Linked DNA regions of Struthio camelus. The protein of the gene in region 1 interacts with the protein of each later gene in a biochemical or structural test. Links are inferred from orthologs where the notes say so. Each region holds a gene or a part of one and is shown in the gene's direction. Other genes may lie near its edges. The genes, in order: OCRL, RAB8A, RAB31 and RAB5A.

Evidence for each region.
Region 2: the proteins of OCRL (region 1) and RAB8A form a complex in vitro, tested with the Homo sapiens proteins (2 studies listed by BioGRID and IntAct, with this or other methods). The link is inferred for Struthio camelus from reciprocal best matches to the Homo sapiens genes OCRL and RAB8A.
Region 3: the proteins of OCRL (region 1) and RAB31 form a complex in vitro, tested with the Homo sapiens proteins (2 studies listed by BioGRID and IntAct, with this or other methods). The link is inferred for Struthio camelus from reciprocal best matches to the Homo sapiens genes OCRL and RAB31.
Region 4: the proteins of OCRL (region 1) and RAB5A form a complex in vitro, tested with the Homo sapiens proteins (2 studies listed by BioGRID and IntAct, with this or other methods). The link is inferred for Struthio camelus from reciprocal best matches to the Homo sapiens genes OCRL and RAB5A.

What each region holds. Positions count from the first base shown.
Region 1 is NC_090952.1:1,884,574-1,892,750, reverse strand, and holds the start of OCRL (inositol polyphosphate 5-phosphatase OCRL), read left to right. Parts: upstream 1-4,851; 5' UTR 4,852-4,888; coding exon 4,889-5,085; intron 5,086-5,280; exon of another isoform or gene 5,281-5,298; intron 5,299-5,359; exon of another isoform or gene 5,360-5,374; coding exon of another isoform or gene 5,375-5,427; intron 5,428-6,071; coding exon 6,072-6,151; intron 6,152-6,981; coding exon 6,982-7,020; intron 7,021-7,733; coding exon 7,734-7,844; intron 7,845-7,919; coding exon 7,920-8,009; intron 8,010-8,177. Other genes in the region: ERCC6L (DNA excision repair protein ERCC-6-like), read right to left, coding at 1-1,562, 1,829-1,869. UniProt on the Homo sapiens protein: Catalyzes the hydrolysis of the 5-position phosphate of phosphatidylinositol 4,5-bisphosphate (PtdIns(4,5)P2) and phosphatidylinositol-3,4,5-bisphosphate (PtdIns(3,4,5)P3), with the greatest catalytic activity towards PtdIns(4,5)P2.
Region 2 is NC_090967.1:5,168,458-5,176,036, forward strand, and holds the start of RAB8A (ras-related protein Rab-8A), read left to right. Parts: upstream 1-4,164; 5' UTR 4,165-4,244; coding exon 4,245-4,368; intron 4,369-4,854; coding exon 4,855-4,915; intron 4,916-5,173; coding exon 5,174-5,234; intron 5,235-5,644; coding exon 5,645-5,722; intron 5,723-6,193; coding exon 6,194-6,283; intron 6,284-7,579. Other genes in the region: TPM4 (tropomyosin alpha-4 chain), read left to right, coding at 324-394, 1,075-1,150, 1,803-1,865, 1,954-2,023, 3,395-3,477. UniProt on the Homo sapiens protein: The small GTPases Rab are key regulators of intracellular membrane trafficking, from the formation of transport vesicles to their fusion with membranes.
Region 3 is NC_090943.1:116,163,591-116,171,017, reverse strand, and holds the start of RAB31 (ras-related protein Rab-31), read left to right. Parts: upstream 1-4,379; 5' UTR 4,380-4,525; coding exon 4,526-4,564; intron 4,565-7,427. UniProt on the Homo sapiens protein: The small GTPases Rab are key regulators of intracellular membrane trafficking, from the formation of transport vesicles to their fusion with membranes.
Region 4 is NC_090943.1:42,635,002-42,642,929, forward strand, and holds the start of RAB5A (ras-related protein Rab-5A), read left to right. Parts: upstream 1-4,578; 5' UTR 4,579-4,835; intron 4,836-4,937; exon of another isoform or gene 4,938-5,221; intron 5,222-6,094; exon of another isoform or gene 6,095-6,252; intron 6,253-6,583; 5' UTR 6,584-6,656; intron 6,657-7,928. UniProt on the Homo sapiens protein: The small GTPases Rab are key regulators of intracellular membrane trafficking, from the formation of transport vesicles to their fusion with membranes.

The sequences.
Region 1 (8,177 bases):
TGGTGAGCAAGAAGACAGAGTAGTCTTTGTCATTCTGAAATGCACTAATGCGCTTCTCTCGTTCTGTTAAGTGGGTTACTGTTCCATCAATACGCATGATCTTAAATTGTCTGCGCGATAAAACATGCTCTATGATATCTAGCATCTTCCTCGACTGCGAGAATACCAGAGTTCTGTGTCCCTCATCTCGCAGCCTTTCTAGAAGTCCTACAAGGAACAGCATTTTCCCAGACTCCTGAATCACAGTCTCTTCAGACAGATGATCTATTTTGTTAGCTCCTGCAAGTATACCTGTTTCACTCCTGTAATCCTGCTCAGAGTATTCATGTCCTTCTAAGCCCAGCTGGATACATGCTCTTGCGGACAGAAGCCTGGGGTGGTCACACAGCTTCTTCAAGACAGTCAACTCAGCTAGAGGTGAGCGGGTAGTCATCAGCACTTCTTTCAAATGATCCAGAGAGAGAAAGTTCCTGTAGATTTCCTCTTGTATTGGTGCTAAATACACCCACACAACAAAGTCATTTTTCCTAGTAAGAGACGGCATGACAGGAGCACTATTTTCACTTGGATCCTCAGGAAGAGGAGCATCCAGTTTGTCAGCATTGCAGTTTTTTTTGATATCTTCTTTAGTTCTTCTGAGGAAATACGGCTTTATAATGGTCATTAGATTCTCAGATATCTTAAGGCCCAGTGCTTTCTCTCCCAGAGTTGCATCCTTCTCCCTTGCCCTCGTAATAGGGTTCTCATATTCCATTTTAAATGTTTTGGCTGTTCCTAGGAGAGAGCCTTGGCATGCAAAGTCAAACAAGGACCACATTTCCCGTAGGTTGTTTTGCACTGGGGTACCCGTGAGGAGGAGGCGATGTTTAGCAGGAATAGCATACACACATTTTGTCGTTTTGTTTGATGGACACTTGATTTTATGCGCTTCATCAAGAATGATGTAGTCCCAGATAAACTCCTCTTCATGGCTGCTGGCAAGCTGCTTCCAGTTGTTAATAAGCATCTGGTAGCTTGTGATAACAATGCCATTCTTCCTCTGGACCCTCTCCAGGTTCCTGGTGCGCTCTGCCTTGCTGGTGCCGTGGAACTCCTTGACGCGCAGGCCAGGGGTCCAGCGAGCAAACTCTGCCAGCCAGCTGCTGACCAGCGTGGTGGGCATGATGAGCAGGACATGCTGGACAAGGTCAGCATCAAACATGCCTGAGAGGAAGGCGATGATCTGGATGGTCTTGCCCAGGCCCATGTCATCAGCCAGGATGCCACCGGGCCTGCCCTCCCGGTGCAGGCGGTACAGAAAAGCAACACCTTCCCGCTGGTGCTGGAAGAGCTTCCCGTGCATCTCCCCGTAGAGCAGCAGTCCGCTGCCGCACACGTCCACGAAGCCTTCCTCCTCCTCCCCATCCTCCTCCGCCGCTGCCGCCTCGGCCAGCGCCGCCTCCACGCGCCGCATGCGGCCACTCAGCTTCTCGCTGGGGCGGATCGCGGCCGCCAGCCGGAACAACCGCAGCGCCTCCTCCAGGTCCCCGCCGCCCGCCGCCGCCTTCGCCCCGCTCACCAGCCTGCGGGAAGCGCCATGGGCACCGCGCGGAGCCCGCCGCCGCCCGCGGAGCCCGCCGCCGCCCCCGGGGCCCCGGCCCCTTCCCCAGCCCCGCTCGCCCCCGGCACCAAGTGCCACCAGGCCCCGCCGCCCCCGCGGCCGCGGCCTCCTCCTCGCCTCCCCCCGGCCCCGCCCAGCTCGACCCCGGCACCAAGCGGCACCGGGCCCCGCCACCGCCGCCCTGGACACCCGCACAGAGCGCGACCGGCCGGCCGCGCCGCGCCTCACCTCCGGTACCGCTCCTCCTGCCCAGGCTCCAGCTCCGCCATGGCGCGCGCGCCCCGCCGCTGCCGCCCCGCGCTTCAAACGCCGGCCCTTCCCGTCCTGCCCCGCGCTCCCTTCCCCCCCCCCCACCCCGCATGCAAATGAACGGCCGCGCAGCCAGTCAGCGTCCGGGGGCGGGGCTGCGGCCGGCCGAGTCCCGCAGCCACCACGTGGTTTTGGGGGGGCGGGGCCGGGGCCAGAGGACGGGGGCTGGCGGGGCCGGGGCCGGGGCCGGTCTCGGGCTGCGCTGTCCTGGTGCTGGGCTCAACAGGGGCTGGGCCACGGTGGGACTGGGCTGCACTGGGTCAGTTCCCCCCGCTCCTGGCAGTATCGGGCTCCTAGGGCAAGGCCCGGCTGCACAGACCCCCGGTGCACAAGGCTCTGAAGCTTCCTGCTCTCCTTTCCTCCTGCCTTTCCTGGGAGCAATGGTGGGGACAAGGGAGTAGCATTTCCCATGCGCTTTTTCTGTACAGTGGGAGATGTTGCCATGTTACTCCAGGAGCACTGGCCCCATGGGGGCTGAATGGTCTTGCTGGACCCTATGGAGGGGGGTCCAGCAGAGTGCACTGAGTCCAGCACAGGCCAGGCGAGCCAGGGAGCTGCAGCTCTGCTCCCGGCTCTTCAACTGCATCTGAAGCTGCTGCTGAACTCAGAGCACACCAAAGCAGTGTTTCCTTTTCCATGGGGTGCTCAGAGAGCAAGTGGGACAGGCAGCAGTGCCCCCACCATGTAGGTGCTCTGCAGCCAGGAGACAGCACTCATGGCTTGGAAGGGTAAGAGATGCTGGCCTGGAGTTAGAGTCCTCAGCATGGGACCAGTCATGCAGTGTGGACTGCTGGAAAGCAGCGCTTCTCTGAAGGCCCTGGCCTAGGCTTTGGTTCCCTGCAGCCACTCAGTGCCGCTCATCACTTGCCCTCTGTGCCCAGATCTGCCGGAGGCCCAGTGCCCACAGCCTGGCACCCTCGCTGGGCCATGCACCTGGGAGGAGGGGGTGCCTCCTGAGCACCAACACCAGCACCCTTTCCACTCTTATCTCTGCAGGCAGCTCTGGCAGCCACATAGGTGTTTCCATTTGAATACAAGCCAGCTCCCTTTCATTTGCAACCCCGGCCCTTGCTTTTTAGTCCCATATGGAGGTAGACTATGGACGATGGAACTGGCTTAGGCTCTATAAGGGATCTCTAGTTTGTTATAGATGACATATAGGGTGTTTCCAGGAGTCACAGCCAAAACGTGAATCCCGCGGATCGTGATATCCTGGATCAGTTGTCCTATAAGGGAGCATGTGAACCAAGACAGGCTGTTACAGAAAGACTGGGCAGAGGACTAACCACCAGTTAGTTTGTGGCACATGCCCATCTGCGGGGGTCCGGCAGGTTTACACCTTGCTTTGGAAACCCCATGGGAGAAGAGCCAATTGCTATCAATTCCCACTCCAAACAGCAGGACTGCGGGGTTATCAGGCAGTGGGAAAGGAAGGGGGTGTCTTGCCAAAGGCCTTCGTGCCAGCGGTGGGCCATCTGAGCTTGCCCAGCCCTGTGGTGTGTGCAGTGCTAAACGGTGCACATGCTGGCGAGAGGCTCCTGCAGCCCTCGGGGGCTGCTCTGCTGGCCCCCACGTCCTCCCAGCACTCCTCTTTCTTGGTAAGTTTTTTCTCTCCTTCCTGGAGCGACGTGGCCAGAGATGGTTTCCTTCTCGTGAGTCAGACCGAATAAGGCCTCGACTTCCTCCTGTGACAGCCACAGGGGAATGGGCTGGGGGGGGGGGGGGGATTGGCTGTGAGCTTGCCATTCTGGCAGGACAGAGGTCTGGAAGAGGAAATGGTCAGGAGCTCCTGGCCCAGTGTGGTCTGTGGCAGCAGGAGACCTCCAGTTTGTGCTGGGAAGAAGCCTGCCTTCGACGAGGCCTGAGATGGGCTCAGCACGAGCCCCAGCTGTAGATGTATGATGCCGTTGTCCTGTGCTTCAGTTGCCCCAGCAGAGTAGAGCTCTCTGCCGCCTGCTGGCAGCCAGGACAGAGCCGGGGTGAGCCCTGGTGTGCTGTGCATCACCCCAGCCTGCTGGTTTCTGCTTACGCTGAGGCGCTGGGTTGCAAAGTGCCAAGCTCAGGAGCTGCTGGGTAAGTCCATCTGGCTCCCAGGGACGGGCCTGCGCTCAGCCCAGCTCACACGTGCCTGAACTGATGGCCCTCCCGGCTTTGCCTCTTGGAAAGGTAACAACCGCCATTGGCACAGACGTGGCCGTGCAGATCAGAGGGCCCAGGAGGCCGGAGGCCCTCAAGTGCCCCTGCCCGGCTGGCTGTAGGGCCGGACTTGCAGGGCTGGGGTGAGCATCCGGCGCTCTGCCCTTTTTTGGAGACTGCAGCAGCTCCAGCTTCCCACGGGACGCGGCACTGCCGGCCTTCTGCAAAGGGCAAGAAAACGCCCGAGCGATTCAGGTTTACCCCCAGCACCGGTCAGGGAGGTCGCAGGTGGGGGCTCATATCTTTGCGTCAGCTCTCGGGGCGCTCACCCGCCACAGTCAGCGCTGCTGCCAGCGTCCTTAGCCAAACCCTGTTATTGCCGCTGTGCATCCCGGCCACTGTTACTTGCCGCTTTGCCAAGCCGGTTGCCGCTTTGCGCCCTGTCCCTCACGGCAGGGCGGCGGCCGTCGCCTGCGGCTCCAAACGGCACAGACCCGCGTGGCTGCGGAGCTACCGTGATAATTTGCCGGGGGGAGAAGGCGGGGGGGGGGGAAGCCCTTAAAAGGAGCCTTTCTTAGAGGAAGCCCTCTCTTATGCTTGGGTGGTAGCCGCGTTGCCAGCGGGGCCCTGGGTGGGCCGTGAACGAGGCGGGGGAGGTCGCCCGGCCGCCCCAGCGCTGCGCGGGGTCCCCTCGGCTCGAGCCCCGCGCGGCGCGGCGCGCTCCGCCCGCCGCCAGGGGGCGGTGGCGCTCGAGGCCGGCGCCGCTCTGCGCTGCCGCCCCGCTCTCCGCGCCGAGTCGCCGGGAGACGGAGGTCGCCGCGGGCCTGGCCGGGAGGCGCCGCCATGGAGCCGCCGCCCGCCGGGGCCTGGAGCTTCGCCGCAGCTGCCGGGGCCGGCCCGCGGGAAGGGCCCGGACCGGGCCGGGGAGCGGCGGCGGTGGTTTCTTTAGCGGCGGCGCAGAGCGTGGCCGGCCAGGAGGTGCGCGCCGGGCGGCGGGCTGCGTGTGTGCTGAGCCTGGGCCAGCGGCAGGGCCGCCACGAGTGAGTACCGCGCCGCCGGGCCTCCCGCCGCCGCCCTCGGCAGCGGCCCGCCGCCGCGCCGCCCGGGAGCCGGGGCGGAGTCGGCGGGGCCGTGGGGTGGCGCACCTGCCCCGGCCGAGGGGCGGAGGCGGCCCCGGCCGGCCCTGCCGGGGGCGGGGGGCGGGGGGGGGGTCTCGGTTGTTGTGCTTTGAGGAAGAGCCCGAAAGAGCTGAGGTGCGTGACCACCTTTCTGGTGGCGGGGCTCGAGGGAAGGTCCCGTCCCCGGCCGGTGGTATGTCGTTATCTCCGGATGCAGAGAAACCCCCGCTGCGGCTCGTTCTGGCCAAAGATGCGATTTCTTATGTTAGTTGCTCGGCCTGGTTCACTAGTGCTGCTCCTGCGGGGCTTTGGGGGATGCAAATGCTTTATTCTGAGAAAGCTTGCTTCTCTGCATCCTTTTTGGAGCCTCTCAGCTCTCTGAGCCTCTACTGAGCTTGCCTCAGTCCCGGAGGGGGTTGTGCCACTTTGGTTATGTCAGAGACCTTAAAGCTGTGGCGCCTGTATGTTTAGAGAAGCCCTAGGAATAGAGTAGATTCTGACTGTCATGTCTTCTGCTGGAGTTATCTCACTGGCTTTGGAGAAAGTAACCTGCAGGCAGGCAGATGAGAAGTTCTGTTTTCTAGCTGTCAGTTCCCAGTCTGCTCTCTTGCTTCTCTGGGCTTCCCTGAGCAGCTAGAGCTGCTGCCACCCTACAGCTAAAACTGCCCTGTAGCGGTGAAAGTTGAAAAGCGCTCGCGTTCCCACCGCATGCTCTAAATATATTTTCACCCACATCCTGTATGGATCTGAGCTTTTCTCTCTTTCTCTTCTCCTGTTCCAGTAGTATAGCAATAGAAATCATGCGTTGCATTTCTCCATAAATACAGCTCTCATTATAATATTAACATTTTGCTGTGTACAAGCAGGGGGTTCCTTTGGTTTTTCACAAGCCTTCTTTCTGTCTCCAGGATAATTATTCATTCACAAGAGAAAGAGTATGCTGATCCGGATTATATTCCCATCAACAGCCGCTTTAAATGTGTACAAGGTACTGACTGTTACAGTGGGTCCTCTAACCTTGTTGTGGCAGAAATCCACTGCCGTATATCAGCAAGAACGGAGCGAGGTCAGTGTGGTGCTTCTAGACCTGCCTCCTGAGCAGCCATGTAGATTGAAGGCTTCCTTGTGGAACTAACACTTAAGAGTTTTTGGTCTCCTGCTTCTTCCAGATCTGAGTGGGGAGTCTTTCCATCTCAGCATAGAGCTGCGATGAACTTGGCTAGTTTGCATGAATGGTGGGCTTGGCTGACTCAGTGAAGTAGGCATCACACAGAGCCAGTGCCTTCAGCACTTGTCTGTAATGGTTGAAAATTGATGGCTGCTGATAGCTGTCTGTCTTCTCCATAAGACAAGAGTTGGGAGGGATAAAAACACCTTTTTTTGCATAAGTTTATGCCCTCTGTATAATTCATCATAGTTCTGCCCATAATTTTTGCTGTATAGACAAGCTCTGAAGTTCACTGATAGGGTCTTAGGGGAAGAAAATTTTGTTCGTGTATACAGAGGGACTTCTGAGGCAGAAATGTCAGGCTGATGCTTTTCAGAGTAACTTTACAGATGTGGAACAAAACATCCAGATGTATGAGAGCTCTGAGCGTTACAGTTCTGGCCTGTGACACTCTGTTTGTGGAGAATGTCTGTCCAGGCTGACCAAATATGACTGTTCTCTCTGCTGGAGCCATTATTATTGTAGAGATGTAAATTAAAGCTCTTTGCTCCTTTGTCAGGACTAGAAGCAGGCAGTGTGTTTTTTATTGGGTACTGAATTACTCCAGCATTCAGTGTGAACTCTCTTGATCCTATTTTTCTCTCTTCCAGAGGCAGAAGAAACTCTACTGATTGATATAGCAACAAACAGTAAGTTGTATAACCAAGACAGTCACGTGGCTAAAGCTTTCAGCAAACAGGCTGGACGTGGGTCACAGATGTATGCTTTTTCCTCTTTTGTCTGCTATCTCATACTCTTCTTCTATACTTTGTGTTTGTCTTTTGGTTAGGTATGGATTGTATTTTCTGTAATGCTGTGGTCTGGCTCTTTTATGCTTCCTTGTAGGCATTCGGTTGTCATGACAAACATGGTTTAAATGCCTGGATGGAGGAGTTGCCATTTGTTAAACTTTAACTTCTTAAGTATTTCCCTAAGGTCCTGCCCTGCCCTCTGAACCTTTCTCATTTCCCTTCCATCCCTTCCCTTCCATTTGACTTGAACTTGAGTCTAGTTTACTGTCTGCCTTTTTAGATATGTGTTTGACATTACTCTGTCTAGGCACTGCTTCAGCCTCTCCTTTAAAGAAATTTTCTCACTACCTTTAGAACTCTTCTCTCCCCTGCTGCCAGGCAGAAAAGTATTCTTAAAACCATGAAAACATGACCGACGATCCTCCAAATGCGGCAGACTCTTGGAAGCACTGGAAGACTAGCTTAGATGCAACTTTGCATAGGAAAACATAGGTGGATGTTCGCTTCCGTTAATGAGCTTAAAGGATACCTAGTAAGCCTGGTCATTGTGAGGGCATAATGTCTGTGAACCAGACTTGACTGTGTCTCTGTGTCTGTTTTTATGCCTGAAGCAGGTTGCAAGATCCGGATACAAGGTGACAAGACAGCTGAACGGCTCTTTGAAATCCCTGACGAGGAGCGTTGCTTGGGCTTCCTTTCAGAAATACAGAGCATACAGGAAGGTAACCAGACCTAAAGATGAGTTTATGAAATCCTCAGATCACGAGCAGTTTCTGATAGGCCTATTTTTTTTCCAGCCCACTCAAAAGCTTCTCCTGAAAATAAGGACCCAGCCAGCTGGCATCAGGTGAAGAACCTCACAGGTCTATCGCAGGCCTCTGTTTCAGGTATTGAAGTGATTGTCACCTTTGTATGCTCTGTGGTCTGTGTAGTAATGGGGCTCTCAGTGGCAGGGAGCTATGCTTGACCCTGCAGTCAGCAATCTGGCTAGTTCTTCTCTTCCATTTCCCAACCCCACCTTATCCTGCTGAAGATAAAACATCCTGGTCCTTGGG
Region 2 (7,579 bases), on another chromosome or scaffold:
ATATGAGAGAACTATGAACAACTTTGTTACTGTTCAGTTTAGTTCTTCTTTTTATACTTTCTACTATGTGATGGTTTGACTTTGCAATATTTCCAAAAGGTGTAATTCTAATAGTGACTATAGCACTTGCGTATTTACATATTTAATCTTACGTATTTAATAGGTATTTAAAGTTCTTTTGGGAAAAAGTCCCTGTCTTGTATGTGCAGAGCTGTATATTTTATTCTAGTTTACATCAGTCAGAAGGCAAGCATAGGCATAGCGCTTTGAGGGAGACATAACAAGTTATCAGTTGGCTTGATATAGTTATTTTCTCTTTACAGGTTGCTCGTAAACTGGTTATTTTGGAAGGTGAACTGGAAAGAGCTGAAGAGCGTGCAGAAGTGTCAGAAGTGTGAGTAGTTTCGCATACATGGGTGTAGTTTAGAGTACAATAAAGTTCTCCTTACTATGTGAGGATTGTTTTCATAACACAAATATCCATGGTATTTTTCAGGGGTTTCGCTTGTTTAACAGTATCAGTACAGTGTCCAACCATTTAGTAGTTTCATTTCAAAGGCTGCCAGCATTATGGAGAAACATAATGGCCCATTTGGATCTTTTTCATGAAAAATGTTGAGGGGGAAGTTGCTAATACTTCAGCTTCAAGAGTAACTTTCCTTACTTGTAGGTTTATTAAACATGCTCTTCTAACATTAGCATCGGGTCTCCTACAGTGTCCAAGGTGGTACAAAACAGAATGGCTCTTGTACCGAAAGTCAGCTGCAGTGCAGTGCAAGCCTATACGTTTCTTACTGTTTTAAGACATTTCTTAACACAGAGGAGTGTGCAACACTGAGCTTTAAAAGTGTCATTTATTCTTCGACAATGTAAGGTTAAAGTTGTATTTCATTAGGCAGATCTACTGCTAAAAGGCAGCCATGTAGGATACTTGGAAAAGCTTTTGGTGTCCCATAAACAAACTCACTGCTTTTAGACTTATTTACTTAATAACCTGTATTTTTAGACCTTTTGAAAATTAAACAAAGTCATAACAGTGACAGTGGTAACTTGTACTTTTTTTTTCCCCCGTAGTAAATGTAGTGACCTTGAAGAGGAATTAAAGAATGTCACTAACAACCTGAAGTCCCTGGAAGCCCAATCTGAAAAGGTTGCTTCTTTCAGTGAGCTAAGGGATGGTGGGGGGAAGTCAAAACTTGTCATTAAAATTCACAGAAATAATCCAGAAGTACAAAAAAATTTAAGGGTTTAGTTTGACCGCTTGTGTAACAGCGAGTATTGATAACGTTGTATCAGTTCTGCCCAAAACCAAAATACTCAGTAATCTGGTAATTATCTGCAATATTGCTTCCTGCAAATCAGGATTTGACTCTGTTTCCCACATTACTAGGCAGCTGACTGTTCTTGATTTTGTTATCTTGTTAAGAATCTTGTATTGGTTGCTTGCCTTCTTAATAAGGCAAATTGCTAAAACTCCTGCTTTCATTAAACAGTTGTTTCCAGCTAGCCCTAATTGGTATAGAAAAGTTGATGATTTCTTGCACATTCAGCTATTTTTGTGCTGCCTAATAAAGTAAGCCTGTTAAGGACTAAAATAGATACGTAAAGGAACTTTGGACAGCCTCAGTCTTAAAACGATGGTATATGAATCAGTTTGAGAAGTCTTGGTGAAGAGGAGAAAAATATGGGAAGGGTGTTTGCAGCTATCATAAACGGAAAAGTGGTTATTAATAGGTCAGGTTTTTCATAAACATTATTGCTGCTACAACTTCCCTTAAAGAGCGTGTTTATTGTTTTCACAGTACTCGGAAAAAGAAGATAAATACGAAGAAGAAATCAAGCTTCTGTCTGACAAGCTTAAAGAAGTAAGATTATCCATCCCCAAACTGTGCTTTGGCAGCCTTTTTTTAACAGCATCCATTTATTCTATTTATTTATTTGTTTGTTTGTTAGGCTGAAACACGTGCTGAATTTGCGGAGAGAACAGTTGCAAAACTGGAAAAGTCTATTGATGACCTGGAAGGTATGAAATTACTGATCATGATTTTACAGGTCTTCATTTTAGCTCAGAAAGCAACATTCTAGGAATAAGTATTATATTTTATTGGGAAAGGACAAAAATATTAATCAGATGTATAGCCAGAGCAGCGTGAGACAATTGGTGATCCGTATGTCTGTCCAGCCGGGTACTTCCTGCCCAGAGGGAATTTTCCTGAAAGAGGTTCTCTTCAAAAGTTGCTACCAATAACCTGCCTTTAGCCAACTCACAAATGTGTGTGCTCAAAGGGGCCTTTCTACTTAACAAGAATCATAATCTCATTTAATCTGATGCCTGAAAAACAATTCTTGGCAGAGGGGGGGAAATGTAGATGAAGCTTCTGACCTGGCAGCTGTGTATATTTTTTTTGCTTTCACACTAATGTTTGACTACATATCTGTTTTCTTCTTCTACTTCCCCCCTCAATTACTTGGTTCGCTGCATTCTGGCTGTCTTCGCATCTTCTGCTATACGCCTCTTCCTCTGGACTGCTTTTCTGCATCTCTTGCTGCAACTTGCCTTCTGCCTTCGTGCCTGATAGATGAGCTGTACGCTCAGAAGCTGAAGTACAAAGCTATCAGTGAGGAGCTCGATCATGCTCTCAATGATATGACCTCTCTGTAATTTGCACCTACTGGGGGGCTTTGACTCGCTGCATTTCTTAAGCTCTTCTTGCCTGTAAGACCTGTCGCTTCTGTGCAACTTCTAAGTGCGATCCTTCAGCCTTCTCTGTAAGATCTGATTTCAATAAAAACGAGTTACCTCTACCTTTAAGCTTTCTGGGTTTTTTTCCTCATGATTCACGTAAAATACATCAGTAATGACACTGAAAGTACATTTAGCTGCTCATGCCAGGGCCAGGCCCCCACAGTCAGCACAGGCGGGACAGTGACCGTGGTGCAGGACCAGCCATGGGAGCAACAGGCCACGCGCACCCTGCGCAGCGCTGAAGAGCTTGGTCAGTCTCGGCACCCCTGATGGCCGGGACAGAACCTGGTGGCCTGGCAAAGGCCTCAGTTTTCGTATTCCCAAAGATGAAAAAGCTTTGAGCTAGCTCTCACTTTGCGTGTTGTTTCACCTGCCTGGTTTAAAATTCTCAGAACGATGGAAACTCTGAAGGACATGTCCTGTACATCGCGTGTTAAACTAAAATACAAGTCTGTCGCATTACATATCAGACCCATCCAGAAACCCTTTAAACGAGAGCCATTACAAAAATAATTATCAGTCCCAAATTTCTTTGATGCAATTATAGTGTTCTCTTAAAAGTAAAGGTGAGTAATGAGGTTATTTATTGAAAGAGAAAAGGCAGTAAAATGTGTGTTTAAAGTCTTGTTTTCTCTCCTTTCTCCCTAGAAAAACTTGCTCAGGCAAAAGAAGAGAATTTGGGGTTGCATCAGACACTGGATCAGACGTTAAATGAACTAAACTGTATATGAAATTGAGAAGAACGCTCAGCCGCCAACAGAAACTTAAACATGTATCTGTATTTACCGTTTCATTCCTCTCTTTCTCTGTATCTTAGAAAAAAAAAAAGAAAATTAAGTTATGAGCAGTGCCCAAAGCGTTCAGGTCAGCGCCCTGGGCGTACCGCGGCCGCAGCCGCGCCGCTGTAGGGCCGGGGCGGCGGAGACCCAGCTCTGTATTTATTAAACTGCAGCATGCAGGAAGGCGAGCGACGAGCCCGCGCGCGACCCTCCTGCCCCGTCTCCGCCGGCTCGGCGCTGGCCCCGCCGCTTTTTTATGTGGATCAGTGTAGGTGGTATCCCAGCAGTATTACCCGCGAACGCGACTGTTCCTGACGTTTTCATATTAAACAGCTTCACCCCGACCCGCCGTGTCCCCTGCTCTGTCCGTAGCGCCGTCGCGCTTCCCCGCGCGCGCAGCGGCTGGGCGTGATGTCAGCAAAACGTCATACCGCCACCTAGCCGCACGCGACTTCCGTCCGCCGCCGGAAGTGGCGTCTCGCCGGGCACGGGCGGCGAGGCGAGCGGCCAATGGCGCGGCCGGTTACACACGGAGCGCGGCTCGCCGGCCAATGGGGCGCCGGCTCCGTTCTCTTCCTGCTCGGCGGCCGGGGAGGCGGGCCCTGCGGCGACGCGCCGCTGGGCTCGGCCAATGGGCGCGCGGCGGGCGGTGATGGCCGGCGGGCTCGGCCTGTGAGGCGCGCGGGGGCGGGGGTCGCCGGAGGGGCGGCGCCGGGAAGATGGCGAAGACGTACGACTACCTGTTCAAGCTGCTGCTCATCGGCGACTCGGGCGTGGGCAAGACCTGCGCGCTCTTCCGCTTCTCCGAGGATGCCTTCAACGCCACCTTCATCTCCACCATCGGTGCGCGCCGGGCCGGGGCCGGGGCCGGGGCCGGTCGCCGCTGCTTCAGCGCTGCCCCGTGCCGGCGGCTCGCGCGCTGGGGGGCTGCGCGGCGGCGGCGGCGGCGGGGAGGGCGGTTTCGCTGCCGCCTCGGGCGGCTTTAGCGGCTCGGCGCGCAGCGCCTCGTTCAGCGGTTGCGGTGGAGCTCGGTTGCGCCGGCCTTGCCTCGGCGCCGGTTGCGAACGTGCCTCACTGTTCGTTCGCTCCCCCCGGCCCTGCGGGGATCCGGGCAGGCGCTTTGCTTGTGGCTGCTGCGGCTCAGATCGCTCTCCTTCGCTCTGCAGAGGCCGTTGTCTAGCGTGAGCGACTGTAAAACCTCGCGCTTTGCTTCGTTAGCTACCTGGAAGGGTGTTCTGCCAGTGCAAACCTCACCAGGGAAACGAGAGGGGAAAAGTTAGCTTGGTCTTCAGCAGAAACTAAGAGTAACTTAGTTACTTCTCTTTTCAGGTATTGATTTTAAAATTAGAACTATAGAGCTAGACGGCAAGCGAATTAAACTACAGATATGGTAAGCCTTTTCTTCTAACGTTACATGAATTAATTTCTTATAACCCGGCATCAGTATGGTGTGGAGTAGTGATATTATCATTACGTTTTCAATCTAGTTGTGCTCTTCAGTAGCTTACAGTATCTTAGAAACCACAACTGTTGTTTCAGTGCTTCTAAAAACTGATTAAAAATATTTAATTAAAGTTTCTGAAAGCTCTAATTTCAGCGCAATAGCTTCGCTGGGTTGCATGAGCCCCTGTGTTCTGGTCTGTTTCAGGGACACGGCTGGGCAGGAGCGATTCCGAACCATCACGACAGCGTACTACCGGGGAGCAATGGTAGGAGCGGGGCAGGTCACGCTGAGCGTTCAACAGACACCTTAGTTTTCAACATCAAACCAGCTGTGTTTTAATGGGGAGCGTATGTAACCGCCTGTGTTTCAGCATATGAACTCTAGCTGGGTAAACACTTGACAACTTGCACTCCTGTTCCTCAGCGCTAATGGTGTTGAAGCTGTACTGAGACAATGTGGGGACCTACAAAGTCAGATTTCCATTGTGACTCACTGTATAAATATACATTTAGTACACCTTATCTAATAAGACACAAATTGTGATTAAATGTTATGTGTAACTTGGAACTATTTCTTTTTAAATAGTCTTTGTTAAGTTTCTTTGTCATGGAAAAGTCTTTAACTTTTGCTTAAACTGGCACTAGCTGAAATAAGGTGTTTTGTTTTTATCTTTAGGGCATTATGCTAGTCTATGACATCACCAATGAAAAATCTTTTGAAAATATTCGGAACTGGGTCAGGAATATTGAAGAGGTAATTTCTGTTTATTGACTCAGTATTAAAAATGCTATCCCCATTCTAGAAGTAGTTAAAAGTTAAATGCTTCAGCATTGTTATGTTTCTTTCTAATTTATGTACTGTAGAGTAAATGTGGAAAACATATTGCAAGAAAATTGGTAATATCTTTTAGAATGTCTCGGTTCATAGTAATTCATTGCACGTGAGAGCACGTTGTATGGACTGTAGCCTTTCTAGCGATTGAGAGATGTTTTCCTGCCACCGCAAGTGACCTAAAGAGCTGCCTTTATGCAGGCAGGCCCTGAGCTGTGAGTGTCTGAAGAAAACTGTTGGGATGGGGTGTTTGGGGGAAACTCTTAAATCTATGGAAAATTCTTTGCATCAGCACCTTTGTTTTCAGTACTTGATGTATGCTTCACCTTTCTGATGTTTTTTTGTAGACAAATACTAAGCTGAAGTACTTTCTTTTGTCTGTTTCTATGTCAGCATGCCTCCCCAGATGTTGAAAAAATGATTCTTGGAAATAAGTGTGATGCAAATGACAAAAGACAAGTCTCTAGAGAGCAAGGGGAGAAGGTAAGTGCCATCGCCTGGCTTCATCCTGTCTCTGCCCAGGGGCTGAAGTCAGTGCTTGGAACTGAATACTTCCTAAATCCCTCAGTCTCTTTAAAGCCCGTAAAGTTCCTTACTTACTGCCAAGACGGTTGCCAAGTGTGGCTCGTGTGTCTGACTTGCTGCTTTTGTGGCAGGAGTCTATGTTATAGCTGCCTTAGGAGGACTAAAGTGCTAATTTTGAAGTTCCAGCCAGTAAGATTGATCTACCACTTCTGAAAGCTCACTAAAGTATGATGGTGTTCCTTCTTGGATTTAATCTTTATCCTTGTTATTTTGGTCTCAGCAGTGAAATCTTCTGTACGAATGTTAAAATAGTTTTTATTCCTTTTGATGTATGTGTGCCTCAGCTGGAAAAAACTGTAGGCTCAGTCTGTTATTCTGCTGGTAGAAAACCTGTTCTTCCAGTGAAGAAAATGGTTCAGAGTTAGTGGTTATTGATTTCTATACCTAACAAAATAATGTGCACTACCTGTGAAGTGTTATTGGCTTCTGTGATCTCTTATGAATGCCACAGTCGTAAATGAAGCTTACAAAAAAAAGTTGAGATCATAAATTAGAGCCCCTTGCTCTAATTGTAAGCGTTCAGTGTTGTGCTCTTAATCGTTAAAGAAAAAAAAAAATCTTCATTTCAAAAGTTGAAAATCCAAAAACCTCTGGAGTGTTTTATAAAATTGCAGTTTGCTGATGTTTGGGACCGTTTAGGAATGGTTAACTTGGCTATAGAATAACATACTCTTAACATTATAAACAGCTGTATTACCATGTTTAGTAACAGAGGCTAAAGTCAGACTTCCACTTCCAAAGCGGCAATTGTCATTTTCTATAAGGTGCTTGAGAACTGATACACTGAATATGCCACCGCCACCAGCCCCAGAAACCTCACTGCTTTAATTTATTTCAAATTAGACTTTTCAAAATGTAAACATTGTATTCATTGTTGTCTATATGTTGCCCTGTTTCTTCCAGGGTATTTCTCAGTGGAACTATTTAACGTTTCCCAAGCTGTAGTTGCAATATGTTTCCCTATTCTGATGAAAAGATGAGTCTGTGTTAAGAATTCTTGTTTGTTGACTGTCTGGTCAGGGTTTGTTAGATGCAGAGCAGGAAAACTGAATTTATTCTTAGTAAAAGGAAGGAAAAGCATGCAAAAGGCTAGCATTTAGGAATGTCCCTTTTTGATGAAAGCCAGTGAGGCAAAAGAGATAGGATTGTCTTTTCTGGCTTCAATTGTTAATTAGTCAAGGTAAAGAATGTACT
Region 3 (7,427 bases), on another chromosome or scaffold:
AGCCTTTTTCTAACCTTCTGAATAGTTAAATAAACAAACAAACAGAAAAGAACATCTTCCAGAAATTTAGCCATTTTGTAACCAGTGCATTTTGCACATGGTACAGAGCCTGAGCCAGAAGCTGCTCTTCCTGCCCTGCGAACTGCTTGCTCAGTGGCAGCTGCCTTCCTTTCAAGAGATTTTGGCAGTTCCTTGGGCAGACCCCAGTGAAATTTCTGTCGTAGCAGTCATGACTGTGCTGCACGTTCATGTCCTTGAGGGAGGCACACGCATGTTTCTCTGCCGGCAGCGAGGGGTTAACTTGCCTCCTTCCGTACATTGGGAATAAGAACTGGGATGGCTGGCGGCCCGCAGTAGGAGGGCCTGGGCTGAGCTGAGGAGGAGGGATAACATTTTTGTGCGAGGAAGATGCTTGCCAAGAAATCCAGAGGGAAAGCAGCAGTGAGAGAAAGGAAGTAACTCATCAGGTACTTGGGGCAGACAGCAGCAGTTTGGGGAGCTGAGCACACACCAGGGTCATGACGGGATCTAGCTCGGCGTATGTCGCTCACCAAAGAGAGAAAGCAGGTGGAAGAAGGCAGATGCTTCCTAAGCCTGGGAACCCCGCCAGCACCTCACAAGTATCCCATTTGCCTACCATATGGGCTAGATAAATACCGTTACACTTCTTTCAGAGAGGAAGAGACAGAGGGCGTAGGAAACTTTTTAATGTAGGATTACATTTTCTGCCAACACGAGCCCCAGAGGGGCAGGAACATGTGGCTAGGGACAAAGGACGGGATGGCAGCAGCCCCAGCTTCAATTTCCAGAAACTGTTGCAAAACCACATGGTGAGACAGAGCTTAGTAAAGTACCTAGCCTGAGGTTACATAGCAAGGCCATGTTGGAGGCATCAGTTTTCCTGATCTTGTGCCTCCTGGTCTTGTGCCTCTAACCAGAAGGCTGTTTTCCTTCCTTTCTAGTGCAGTTTGCTGGGCCTATTCAAAGGAAATCAGCAGTGTTACACTTACAGACCTAGGGTGAGTGAGAGGATAGTCCTGCTCCAGCAGGTTTTCCAGAACAGGAAATCAAAGTGAAGGATTCCTCAATGCTATTCTCCCATGGCAAGTAGGACTACTTTGAATTTCATGATGGAGACAGGCCTGAATAAACTTTCCAAATATCATAGTCAGAACACCTTGACCAGATCACATCTTGGTGGCTGAAGCCCGACTCTGAGGACCTAAATCTCTCACACTAAGGGTAGATTAGGAGTAATCACTCTTATTTTGAAGTTTGAAATTGGTGAAGCTGCACTCTTATAAAATTAGAATAAACTAAAGGATGATTTGGTTCCTGCAGTTTTTGAAAACTGAAGCAAATGATTTCTGAGGAGAGAGTGAATTACTTGAAAGTCCTGAGGGACTGCTACTGAAAAGTGGAACTGCTTGGAAATACCCAAAAGCGAAATACAGGGTAAAAAGAGGTGAGGTGAGACGTCGTTTCAAAACTTATATTTATTAATTCAGTTGCTATAAAAGGAAAAAAAGAAAACCTTTAGGATGCAAAGGGTTGTTTTCATTTGCTTTTAACCAGACATGTGAAAACACTGAAACATGACAAATTCCTCAAAAATGTTTTCCTGACCACAGCTTCTTGCATGCAGACAAATACAAGGATTATGCCAATTCCTGGAAGAAGGAACGTCATTAGCTTTTTTTAAAATACTTGAGCATATGTCTGTTTGTATTGTTTTTCTCACTTTTTTCTAATTTTTGTGGGTTTTTTTAGGGCCTCTCTGTTTTAGGCCAGTACAACGAGTTATTTTTCCTTCTGGTGTTTTTCCTTCCAGCCCATCAGACTTTTTGTCTGTACAAGTAAAATTGCCCTTTCTTGATACTAGCCCTCCTGCTGTTCAAGCCTGAGCAGTTTACACTGGGTCACCTTCATGTTACTGTTCTAAGCAATTTGATTGCTTGTAACTAGCTGCTTGAGGATCTGCTGTCTTCAGAAGTAAGCTTCTGAGGTATGTACTTGCAGTGCTTTTAGTGATGACTGCTGTTTCATCATGCATATTTTAGGAAAAGTTTCCACAGATAAGAAGAAATATGGAAATGTGAAATATGACTTGCTTTCCTCGACAGATTTCTCAGGCATTATTTTGTATTACGCTGGTACTGAATCAAGACAGCAATTCAGCACGTCCTGACGTGCGTTGAAGTTAGTGGGATGTGACACTATCTTGAAAATGGACAGGCTTAAGCAAGTGCTTTCCAGAATCGGAACTTTTATTGCGTGTTTGTGCATGGAGATGCATGGGAAAGTTAAGGCCCCTCAACTAAGGCTGTAAAGTCAATGCAACATATAATGAAGTACATTAAGCTGCTGTATGTATGGATACCATTTAGGAATAAAGCACCATTACATCATTGTAGCTTAATCTGAGTGCAGCTACAGACAAACCCTCCAGCTGTACTTGTGACACTGAGCAGCTTTGAACACAGCGCTCCTCTATCAGTCTCTTCTTGTAATCCTCAGCCTAGCATAACAGCATTCAAGCGTTTCTTACTGAAATTAGTTCACTTGGTATAGCATTTCATTTCTATACAACAAGCAAAAATTCCTAAAGTTCAAAATTGCAAAATCTGGAGCAAAGAAAAGGTGAGATTAGAGAACCAAAGGGATATTTGAAGGACATAGAAATGTTTTTTAAAAAAATCAATAATTAATTTATGCAAAAGATGATCCTGAACTGTAATACCGGCTGTGAATCGTAGTCCTTCAACACTGGAAAAGTTTGAATCAAGGTCACAGGAACAACATTTAACTCAGCCTTAAAAATGAAAGAGAAGATGGAATTGGATAGTGTAAAGCCTTAAAACTTTGCACCTCCTGTCCACTGTAGAAGTAATTCCCGGCTAAAATTTGGAGTTGCTTTGAATTAGTTGTGTTATGACTGCAAGGCTGTAATTGTCCCATGTTAGTGAGTGTATCCTCTTTGCTTATTGAAAGACTTTATTGTATAATCCATTCTTGTGGAAAGACAATGAGAAGACAGAATTCTAGCAATATTCTGCCAATATTGCAGAATATTGGAAACCTGTGATTGTTGTTTCTCTAAATTCTCCAAAAAACCCCACTTAATTAAATGCCAAGCATCTCTCTGATGAGCCTCTCCTTTTATCTCTATCTTCTGATACTCTCTTCTGACAAGCTGTGACGCTCCACTAAAAATGCTTTTGTGTTTTCCTCCTTGGGGATAGGAACTGCTCTGTTCCAAGCATTTCCTTGGCCTAGGGTTGGGGAGAGTTGGAAGAGTGCACGCGTTCTCCTCTGGCCTGTCAATGTGAGCGTAGGACATAATGTGGAACTAATTAATGACATAATGAACGCCACAAGAGTTTATTGTCAGGAAGCTCCTGTGACGTGGCAGTAATTTCATAATGACTAATCACGTTTGCCGTAATCATCCTTTAGCAATTCTACCTGTTTAAAATGATAAATTAGCCAAAAAAAAAAAAACCAAAACCAACCATGAGTAGAATGGATGGACTTAAAATACATGACAGACTCTTCTTTTCTGCTTTTTCAAGATTATAACATGCAACCGTTCTCCATAAACGCTAGGACTCTGGCTACAGAGAGCAGAGAAAAGCTGGAGCGGTTTATAATCCCTCTCACTGATTTCAGTGGACAGGTCCTGAAGTTAGTGGTAATGCACTATTTACCAGATTTCTTTATGTGTGGGATACAGCCCTATTGTCAACCCTAGAGTGGATATTTTAATTAAATGCAGCTATTTCGTACCGGGATTGCATAAAAGCAGAGTTACTCTTTTAGGTACAGAAATGCTTACTGCACATATAAAGTCAAAAAAAAAAAAAAGTTAAGATCGATTCAGATTGTTCACAAGCGAAACAGTTCAGATCCCACATCTCGACCAGCACTTGGTGTGTAGGACTAAGCAGACGTGTAGTCCCATGCCGGGTGCGGACCTCACCAATTATTTTTCTCACAGCGGCAGGTATTTACACCGTACCTCCCCGGTCACCAACCGGCTCGGCTGCCCCGTTTTAAGGGGCGGTTCAGAGCTGGGGGGCCGCTCCCTGACCCACTCGGGAATGAGCCCCTTCACTCCTGATGCCAAGAAGCCACCTGAACCCACCAACCTTCCTTCACCCCGGGGCCCCAGCGTGGCTGACCAAACCCACCCGGGGCCGCAGCCACGCGGCGCCCCGGCCTGGTGCCACCTTCGTGTCACTTCAACGAGTGAGCGGGCGGGCGGGCGGGAGCCGCGCGCCCAACGGCCGCCGCGAGCCCAACGGCCGCCGCGCGGCCCTCGCGCGCGCGCCCCGCCGGGAACCGCCCGCGGGCCGCTGGCGGGCGGGAAGCGCGGCGGCGAGGCGGGGCCGCGGCGGCGGCCGCGCGCATGTGACCGGCGGCGGCTCGGGCTCGGGCTCGGGCTCCGGGGGCGGCCCCGGCGGGGCAGTGCGGAGCGGAGAGGCGCGGCGCGGCGGGGGATGCGGAGCGGCTCGGCCCCACGCAGATGATGGCGATACGCGAGCTGAAAGTGTGTCTGCTTGGAGTGAGTAGCGGGCGGGGAAGGGGCCGCGGAGGGTCGCGCCCCGTTCCCCGCCGCGGCGGGGCCGCCCTGCTTGCGGCGGATGGCGGCGCCGGGCCGGGAGGCTTCCCCTTTCCTCTGCCTCCTCTACCCCCATCCCTCCGCGGTGAAGGGCTGCGGGAGAAGGGGAGGCGGGGGGGGGGGCGCCGCGCTGGAAAGAGGAAGCGGCTCCGCGCCCCACCGCGCTTCCCCACGGAGGCGCCCGCCTCTCCCTTCCGCCGGGCGCAGCGCCTGCCCGGCCCGCGGCTCTGCCCCGCCGGCGTCGGGGCTGACGGCGGCGGCCCGGGGTCGGGGCCGGGGCCGCCCGTCGCCGCGGTGAATTCCTCCGCGCCGAGACTTGGCAGAGGCAGCGCGCCGGCCTCCGGCAGCGGGGTGGGTGTGAGGGTTTGGGTGTCTTTGTTTGCTTGTTTTGCTTTGTAGTTTTTGGGGGTGGGGTTTTTTTTTTGGGGGGGGGGAACTTTTGCAGGACGGGCTGGGTCGCCGTCTCCCCGCGGGCGCGCACGCCGCGGGGAGCGGGGAGATGGTAGCGTCGGGGGGAGCCGCGGCCGAGCCTGCCGCCCTCCCCCCCGCCCCCAGCGGGCCGCCTCCCTCCCGTGTCGGAGCCCCGAAGGGTTTTTCGATCTTCTCACTCCCGCCTCCTCTTTGCGGGAGACTTGAAGTTTCTGTCACTTGTCCTGCCGGCTTAGCTGAACCAAGGCTGGCGTGGTGGGAGATGGAAAAGAAGGGAAAGCAGCAATCATAACTCCGTGTCTGTGCGAAGAGATGATTCCTCCTGTCTTCTCTCATACGCCTCAAGTTATCTGCTGTGTGCTTGGTTTGGTTACTTGCCTGCGTTCGTTAAAGCTTGGTTCAGCGAGCTCATTATTTTTGTTCTTTCCCTTTTTGGGTGTAATCGTTATGTGCGTTTAACATCTGGAGCAACAATGTGCTTAGCTTTGCAGTTTGGCTCCGCCTGCCCCCGTCTTTGCCCTGCTCAGAGGGAACTTCACATCAAAATGTGCTCATGGAATTGTTACAAGTACTGCTAGGAGAGCCCCATACAGATCCAGATCTTTTGATAGTTACTAGCAGGGCATGCCATTTATCAAATGTATCAAATAGACCAGGCATAAGTTACACAGCTTTTAGGCCCATATTGCCATTAAGTTTCAGAAAAGCTGTGTGATTGAAGGTGTTCTAGAGTAAATTCTCACTCATGGAGTATAACTGGATTGCAGATTTAAAAACCAAACAAATATAGACACTCCAGTTCCCTGTGCTGTGTGCTGACACTTACCCCAGCAGGAGTGGGTACTTTGCCCTGGAGTAAGAGCCAGGACGTGGTGCCAGGACACTGAAGAGTTCAACCCGAAGTATTTGGCAATGAACGTTCATCCTTTCTCAGTAAGAATTCCTGCCTTCAGCTTTTAAAATGGCACAGAGACAAAATAAATGTGGTTTAAACAAACCTGAGGAGTCTGTGGTAGAGTATGTGGATGCGCCTTTATTTTTTTCCCCAAGGAGAAAATCCCGTAATGTTCTAGAGATGAAATGTCTTGTGGAATGACATTCCTCTTGCCCATAATTTATTGCTGTTTTGTAACATTGAAAAGTACTGGAGGTTTTGCAGGGGAATTGTTTACTTGTTTTAAGACAGGAAGAGAAGCCCAGAAAGCAGCTCTGTGTTACTTGGAGTATGCCATTACTCAGTAGATTCTTTAAAATGATAGGGTGGCAGTGGAAACATTTAGGAAGATACAAGTGTCTGTAGTTGGTGAGAAGCCGTTCCTTCCTGAGTTTTAATAGGCTATAATCCTGGAGAACCGTCTACTTGTGATCATAGACATCCTACCATGGAGGCTGGCGTTCTGTTTTCCCAAAACGGCAGGGTCCATAATAGACAAATCACTTGTAAGCTTCAGCTTTCCAAAACAGGGCAACTGTGTACCTCTCTGTGTGAACAAGTGCAACCATTAATCTTCTGATCTGCCTAGAAGTTACATGGCAACCCTAAAATATGTTTTCAGATCTATCCAAAGGAATCTTAATACTTATCTTTTCAGTAGGTCCTGGACATAGTTCCCTAGATCTGTGCAACAGGGCAAGTTAATCTGTATTGTGTCTAATAGTTCCCCTAGTAATCAGTAAAGTCTGACACGCCCAAGTCCTGAGATGAATTCCTTGTCGGACAGGAAGCATTAAATTGGATTCTAACCTATGTATCTCTTCTCTTCTCAACAGAGCCTTAGATTGCATCCCTAAATCAGTTAGGAGGATCACAGTTCCGTTCTGTATCAGTTCCCCTGACAATCTACAGCCCTCAGCTGTGCAAAGGGCCTGGAACGTGTCTGTTTCTACCAGCTCAGAATTCCCTAGTGGGGAAGAATTTGCAGCTGGCGTAACACTGGCAAAGCCACCTTCTCCACAAGCCCCGGAGCCTTGCTCAGCTGTACAAGGTCTCATTGGGAGGGTGAGGAGAGAGGGGAATGGAGAAACCAGAGCTGTGCTCCATGCTGCCACTTTTCTACTAACCCATAAAACAGCTCTTATAAACTAGTCTAGTACTTCAGGGCCAGCACTTGGCCCGGAGCCATTGCGATAGAGATGGAGAATAAGTTATTGGCTCTTGGTTGTCTCCCACGCATTGCCCAGGTCATGCTGTAGCAGAAGAGAGAACCTGGCCCATAGTTCTGAACATAAATCTATCAAAACTGGGATTTGGGCATCCACGTTTCACTTTTTCCTCCTCAGAAGTAACTTGAGAGAAATTTGGAGCAGCCTCGAGTAGTGCACAACAAGGGGATAGACATGAGGTTTGTAAGTTTTGTGAAAGAAGCAAGAGAATGAT
Region 4 (7,928 bases), on another chromosome or scaffold:
TTTAAAGAAAGGATTATCAAGTTTTATATTCACCGATCTTTGATATCAGACCATAAGTTATGGGTGAGTGATGCTATTTTATGGTCATCAATGCACTAGCAAATTTATGCAGTAATTAAACCAAACAGTTACCATATTCACTACAGAAGGATTTAAATAAGAACTACCAGACATTTAAATAAAGGAAGAATATTGTTAATAGGATTCCAAGATGTATTTATTTTTAACTCTTGGCTTTTGCTTCATCCAGGCAAGGAAAAACAATAGAATTTTTTATTAATTCTATAAATTAGTGTCACATGATTGTAAGATACCAAACTAAATAAAATAAAATCTAGTTTATTTTGATCCTCAATAATGCTGTATTTCTCCAATATATAAGGATCAGTAAAATGACTCAAAGCATAGTTTTATTTATATTAGCTAATGAAATAACAAAAGTTAAACTCCATTTTGGAACAAAGATCAAGCCCTTCTGGAATCAAATTGACTTCGGCATGAATTTGTCATCTCCTATGGAATTCCAGAGAACTGTTTTGTGAAAAGGTTAAAAAAAAATTCTTTTTACAGCAGTACTTTGTAGCTAAACAGTGTTTGTCATCTGAAAGTTACTACTGTCTGCTGAAGCCCCATTGCCACAAGATAGTGCCTTTTTCTGTTTTTCACAGGCTAAAACTGAGGAATGGAAACTGCCTAAAATCCTGCATTTCACTTTCTTTATGAAGCACAAAAATTCCATGTTCAGCAACACAGTTCTCATTCTGACTAGGAGGATGGTTATAGACAGCAGTCAAAGCACTCAGTGAGTTTGTAAATTCCTCAAAGCCTCTGAAGAGAATTTGACATAAAATGCTGCAAGTGTTATGAAACTCCTGAACAACATTAGCCCTGCTGATAGGCTTTGGTGTTGTCATTGCTTGGTTACTTTCAGGTTTTGTATTCAACTTACTTATTTAAGGATAGAAAATGGTTGTTCTTTGTGTGCTGCACACACTCTATGTATTATGATATGACAAAACCAAAGGATATTTAAAGAAAACATACACAAATAGAGATAGGAGAAAGACAGAAAGGATGAAATTAGAACAGATGGACACATGAAAGAAATTAGGGAGGTAAAACTAAGAAGAAAATTCAAACAGGATAAAGAGATTCTGCACATCCCCCAAAGCCAACTTCCATTTATTATAATACATCTAGGGGCTAGACTTTAACACAGAAAGATCGAACAGAACATGCTATTAAACTCTTGGGAGAAATGCTGAAATAGATGGAAATTCATTTGGTGAAGTTATGACCCAGTAACATCAAAATTTTTTTGTTAATGTCATCCAAAGCAAAATTTTACTCCTGCTATTTTAACAATGATGTGTGACCCAAGATTATATAACATATGAAAATATGATCCCTGGAATGGCTGTCCTGGTGACTTCAGACTTTTTTCTTAATGGTTATTTGCCTAGGCTACAACACAAGAAACTCATCTTCACTGCTAGTGTTCCTGGACTTGTCAATTCCAAAATACTGTGAATGAAATTCAACTCGTTTGATTACGGCCTCATGCTCTCCAGTCCTGCATTGCAGTTAGGAAATTAATTACCCAGCAGAAAACTTACGCTTGTTATATACACACACTTTCTAGCAGCACATACCTCATACCTCTACTGATAAACGATCTGATGTCTCAGGGTGCATCCACCACATGATCCAATGCATGGAGTGTCTATATAGTTACAGACAAAAAGAGTATGAGATTTGCATTCATCCTAGCAGTTTCAGCACAGAAACGTACTGCAACTTATCTCAAGTCCACTCAAAGAGTAGGCTTGAAAAGAAAAATTCTCTAACCTCTCATCATGGAAAAGTAAAAGATTCGTTATCCCTTTCTCCCCTCTTTTCTTCTATTAGTATAATTATATCATATGAATGTAATTCCTGCATCAAAAAATCCATTCAGCCTTAAACCTCAGATGCATTTACTAATGTGCAAGATTATTCTGAATTTAGAAAGCATTTATACTGTTTATATTAAAAGAACATCTGATCCTTTTACATGCTGCATTGTGGTTCTTCTCTGAACAGTGCTACATTTTGTTTTATATTTTTGCCCATTCCTCTTCTACTTCTTCCTTTCCAAAGTGTGTAAACTGTGTGGTTTCAGATTCCACACCCTAATGCCATGTTGATAGGTTACTGCCAAATAAATGGTCCTTAGCTCTTTTTCTTCTCTAAACTCATATTCGTTTGCTCTCATCTGCATCAGATCTAGTCAGCCTGCAGCCACAGATGAGTTGGCTCAGCCAACTGATACAGGAGAAAATTATTTAATTTGGCGAATTATTTTTCCATGAAATCAGTGGTTGATCCAACTCGTTCTGTAGCCACAGGCTCCCATGAGGTACAAGCTTGCAGCTGGGAACGGAAAGGAACTAGGACCACACTTTCGAGGGGTACCTCTTCATTTGATTGGATTAAGTGAAATGTCAAACACCACATGAGCACTTGATCTCCAAACTGAATTTGAGTTCAACCTGTCCTAAAGAGTCACAGTGTAAAATTCACATTTTTTCCATCCAAAACTGTTTACGTAAATGGTGAAAAATGTCTCTGTTTATCAGGGTTCTGATGTTTTGATCAGCAAATCCTGCAGTCCAGCGGAATTTACTGAAAAGTCAGAAGGTTAGTGTGAAAACAGTGCATTAAGTTAGGATTGCATCATTTAAACAGGACCTGTGATAGAGATTCTAAAGGCAGTCCTAACCATAAACTTCAGGCTCAGAAACCTTGCATGCTTTCAAACACATTTCCTTGGAGGAAGTTCTTTGTAATAAAAGTGGGGAGTCTAGCATTTTATATCACTGGTGGACTCAGAATCTCTATTTTTCTTTTTCTTGTTGTTCTTATACACTGGCCTTACAAAAAGCTTAGGTTTTACTTAAGGCAGTGAAGGAGCGTGATGAAATTTTTACTATCAGGATGCAATCATTCAACTAACGCACAAGGAAAAGGAGAGTGGAAAATGAAAATAAAAGTTTATTTTTGCACTTGAGTAACTTCAAAAATATTGATATGCCCATACCAGGGAAGGGACAAAAAGACAAAAGGAGGAAACAAACACAGCAAAATGAGATTTGTTTATTTCCTTCTCAGACTACAGTCCCATCAGCCACAGTATTTTACAAGCAGTTAGGTGTTTTTAAGGCAGCACTAAAGAGCAGAGATAATAAAAGGCTGCGACATGATTAATTTAAGCTTTCTGTTTTCAGCATACTTCTAAAGTAGCAGCAACAACAGCAGAAGAATCCTGCACGGACAGAAAGACTAACTGGACAACTAACATTAAAGTTCTATATTTTAAGGTGATAATGAACCACTACCATAATGGGCCTTTAGCTCCAATATAACCCGGGCCATAGGCTTTTCCTAATTTAATTTTTGCTCCAACTTAATATGTGGTTGAACAAAAGCATATTTTGAGAGGACAGCAACATACAATCCTGATTTAACATTTTCTGTGATTGAGAGTCTAAACAATCTTTATTAAATTGTACCAATGATTAAATACCATAACTGATAAAGTTACTAAACTTCTTTCCAGTTCTGCTTTGGCTTGCTCTAAATGCCAACCGTTACACCTTATTAAACCTGCAAGATTAGGGAAACACTTATTATACCTGTTTCATTTCCTATGGAACCTGTTTATAATCTGTGACCAAGTGTCCCTTACTCTTCTCTTTCATGGGATCAGTAGATTGGGCTCTTTTTATCTTTCACAGTGAGGGAAGTTTTCCATTCTTCTTATCATTCATATAAGCCTTTTCTGAATTCTCTCTCACTTTTCAACATCCTTCCTCAGTTACAGAGATCAAAAAGGCAGGCAGGATTACAGCACGCTTCTCACAATACACCAGCAATACAGAACAAAAGTCATACATGTACTGCCATCTCCAGCATGAGATGTATGATCCAATATTTGCATGTATTGAGACGTACTATTTGCATCTACCTATCCAGCAATAAAGACACTTCTCCATTGGTAACCTATTCTCTTCAGTTTTAGCACTCTCCCAGTATTGATCGTATCCCAAAACTTCATCCCATAAACTTCATTTATTAAAGAAAAATGTTAAGCAGCTGTCCAATTGTATTCGGGATTTTTTCTATGTACTTCCTTCCCTCAACTCATTTGGCTTAGGGCTTTGGTCCTTTTAAAGCACCCAACTGGGAGTTTGCAGGGAATCCAGTTCACAGCCCTGGCACCTCAGTGGCCACATCATGCTGCACTGTGCTTGCTGTTTCTCGCAGAGAGGCATTCAGGAAGCCTAGCTGTTCTCAAGAGACTCTTTCCCTCAGACTTACAAGAGCAGGACGTAAGCCATTCCCTGCAAATCGAGGGCCCAACTTCCGCCACGCCTGACAAGCCCTCTTCGTTCAGCCACTAACGGCTCCCTCACGCCTTGCCCGACCACTAAACACAAACGTATTTACTTGGGGAAAACGACGCCTTATTTGAGCGCAGCAAGGGGGGAGGAGGGGGCGATCACCTCCCTGGGCTCCACCTCCGGGAGGACGAGGACGACACGGCGCCTGGGTGTCGCTGCTCGCGGCGGCCGCCACCACGGCCCCGCTCGGGCAGGCGCCGGGGCCGCCCTCAGCGAGGCCGGTGGGGTGGAGAAAGCGCCACAACCGCCGCGTCGCTGCCGAGGCACCGGCCGTTGGCGGGGCAGAGGGGAGCCCTCCTCGCGCCTCTCCCGTGGGCCCCCGCGCGGGCTGGCACGCGGCGGCCGTGGCGGGGGGCCCCGCGCGGGCGGTCGCAGCCCCGCGGCGTTGCCCCGGTAACGGCCCAGACGCGGGGCGGGGGGAGAACGGGACGGAAAACGAAAGGGGCGGCGGGAGGAAACGAAACGCAGGGGAGGGCGGGAGCGGCCACGTGACGCGCGGGCGAACCGGAAGCGCATGCCGCGTGCGGGCCGTGACGTGGCCGCGGCGGCGGCCGCGGCGGAAGTGCGTGTGTGTTTTGGTCCGGGCCGAGGAGGCGGCGGAAGCTGGCGGCGGCGCGGGCGAGGCACGGCAGCGCCCCCGCCCCGAGCCCCCGAGCCTCCCCTTCCCTCCCCGGGCCTGGCTCGTCCTCCCGCCCTGCCGGAGAGACAGAGAGAGACGCCGCCGCCGCCCGGCTCCCCTCCCTTCCCCCTCCCGCGCGCGGCCGCCGCGGCCCGGCCAGGTGAGGAGGCGGCGGCGGGGCTCGCGGGGCGGGGGGCCCGCTGGCGGGGCGGCGGGGCCGGCGCGGCCCCCGGGGTACGGGCCGTCGCTCCTAGCCCTCTGCTTCCTCCGCCGCAGCTGCCGGCGGCCGCCTGCGTGCGCGCCGCCTCCGGGCGGTGCGGGAGCGTTGGGCCGCGGCGTGGGCTGCCGCGGTGGGCAGCCCGGCGGGCGGAGGGGGGAGGCCGGTCTGGCTTTTCCCGTCTCAAAATGGCGCTCCCGGTTCTCCCACTTCCCCTTATTCCCCTGCCTGCGGCTGGAAGGAAGCGGCGGGGGAGGGAAGGCGGCGGCGGGCATTGGAGGAGCTGGGCTGGGGATCCCGTTGAGAAGGGGGGGAGTGGGGATCCTCCCTGCCTGCGGCCTCTGCTGCGGTGAGTTACCGCTGCCTGGCCCTCCTGCAGGGGAAGGGGTGTATCTTTCGAGTTACCTGAGCGAAAGGAAAGGGGTGGATGGGTGACGGGTTCCTTTCTTTTGCCTGTGACCTGGAAAGGGACGCTGAAGAAGGTGGGAAGGAAAATACACTGGCCACACATCGCCATTCAGGGAATCTTGGATCAGGGATGGCAGGACCCCTGCTCCTTACCCCCCTCCCCCAATACAGGCCTAGTTTATATATGGTTCTACATAAGACTTGGTTGGGACGAGGAATAAAGCTATAGTATGGTGAAGAGACAAATCAATGCTCTCTTATCCTTTAGAGGAGAGTAGGGTAACCAAAAATTATCAAAATGGTGTTCAAAACAATAGGTCTATGACAGACAAAATTAGTCCCTCAGCATTTTCCTTTTTTTTTCCTTCTCTCTTTTTTTTAAACCTTTTACCTTTGTACCTTTTTTAGCTTTACCTTTTCTCAGCCTGGGAATGGAAAAGAGAGACTGAACAGTAACACTGAAATTAATCAGCTCGGTCCAAGTAACACTCGGAGCAAGTAAAAAGCATAACATACTTGATTCCCCACCCCCCATTTGGCAGTGAGTTCCTAGAGTTGCAGTAAGGGTAATTTACTCGTGCATATTTTTACCTTATGGAACGAAATGTCAAGACAACATGAATGTTAACTGAAATGAGGTGGTTAGAGACAGTAATTATACAGTCATCATTACCTGTCTTTCTGATATGATAAACTAGTTTATCTCAAAGCAGTGCATAATATACATCATTCATATGAACTTACGAGATAGCTATTATCTTTAATTGGAAGGCTGTGAATTTCCTGTACTGTTGATTCATGTGCTTAACATACTGTCTCATTATGTTTCAATATAAACTGACTTGCATATGACAAATGTTCTGATAGTTGTACCTGTCACTATCTTGAATACTACAGGACAATGCCACACTAATTTGGTCAACCTGAGAAGGGAATAACAAAAAATTGGCCAGTTAGGAGTGCCTACCACGTAAGTTTATTTAGATATTCCTATTTAAATTGTTCAGGATCATTCAGTATAAATAAACTTGAAGTAGGTAGTGGCTATAACTTCAGTGTTGTATGACTGTTTTCGACACTATCAACACTGAATTTCAAATACGGTCAGCCAGAGGCAGTCATTTATGAGTTACAATTTTCCAGTAATCTGAAACTTGAAAGCGTATTTGTGTCTAAAATGCTTCATCCCTGAATTGAGAAGCTATTTAGAGTCTGGTGGGGTGTTTTTTGGGTTTTGGGTTTTTTTAATTGATCTGAATTTTTTATTTCTGTTTCTGGTCACAAAGTATGACAAAGTTTGTAGAAATTATTACAATATTAAACAAGTATGTTCATGGTAAAAAAAAAAAAAAAAACCTTTGTCATTAACTATGAAGTACTAAAATATTTTAAGTGGTGCTGTATTCCAATTTAAAACTTACTATCATGAACTTCTCGTGTGGTCTTTGTATTTGACAATACAGAGTTCATTCATTGTAGGCTTAATCCCATTGGTAGGCTATATAGTCACTATTAATATTTTGATTCTTGTATATTAGCTTTCTTGCAGTTTCAAATAGGCACTAATTTGAACACTTACATGACTGAATAGATCAGATTTGTGACTTATCCCATTGAGTCGTGAGATGGAAATTATTTTCAGCCTCCAGCATGGGAAAATTCACGTGATGTTCTATTAAAATAGTTATGAAAACTTTCTCTTACGAATAAGACTTTACAAATACTATCTAGCAGCGTAAAAGTCCCTTTTCTAAAGGGATGATGAGAAGAGAATAAGCCCAGCATCTTGTAAATTACTTGATAGGATTAACAGGGGTACTTTCCTAATAATATGCCTTAAACTTTGTTCTGATATTTGCGCATGGACCTGCTAACATGCCGGGGGGTTACTCAAAAGAGTGAAGATTCCTACTTGGCAGAAGGACCCTTCGTGTTATTGTTGTAGTGACCAAGAATGCAAAATGGCCTTTACCTACTAGTATATGATAGTTCTCGCCTAATACTCCATGAAAGATTTTCTTACTTATTTTATTTTGATTTTGTGTCATTTCTATACGTATGAAGCCATCCATCTATGAAACTATGCATGATATATTGAGAACCTTCACAAATGGAAGTGTTTTCCTCAGCAGATCCTTATATAAGTAATGTCCTTACCTTACTTCCTTACATATACGTTTAAAAGCTTGATTCAGGCTGTATACTTGCTTTTTTGTAAATTAATGGAAACACCTTGCTAAGG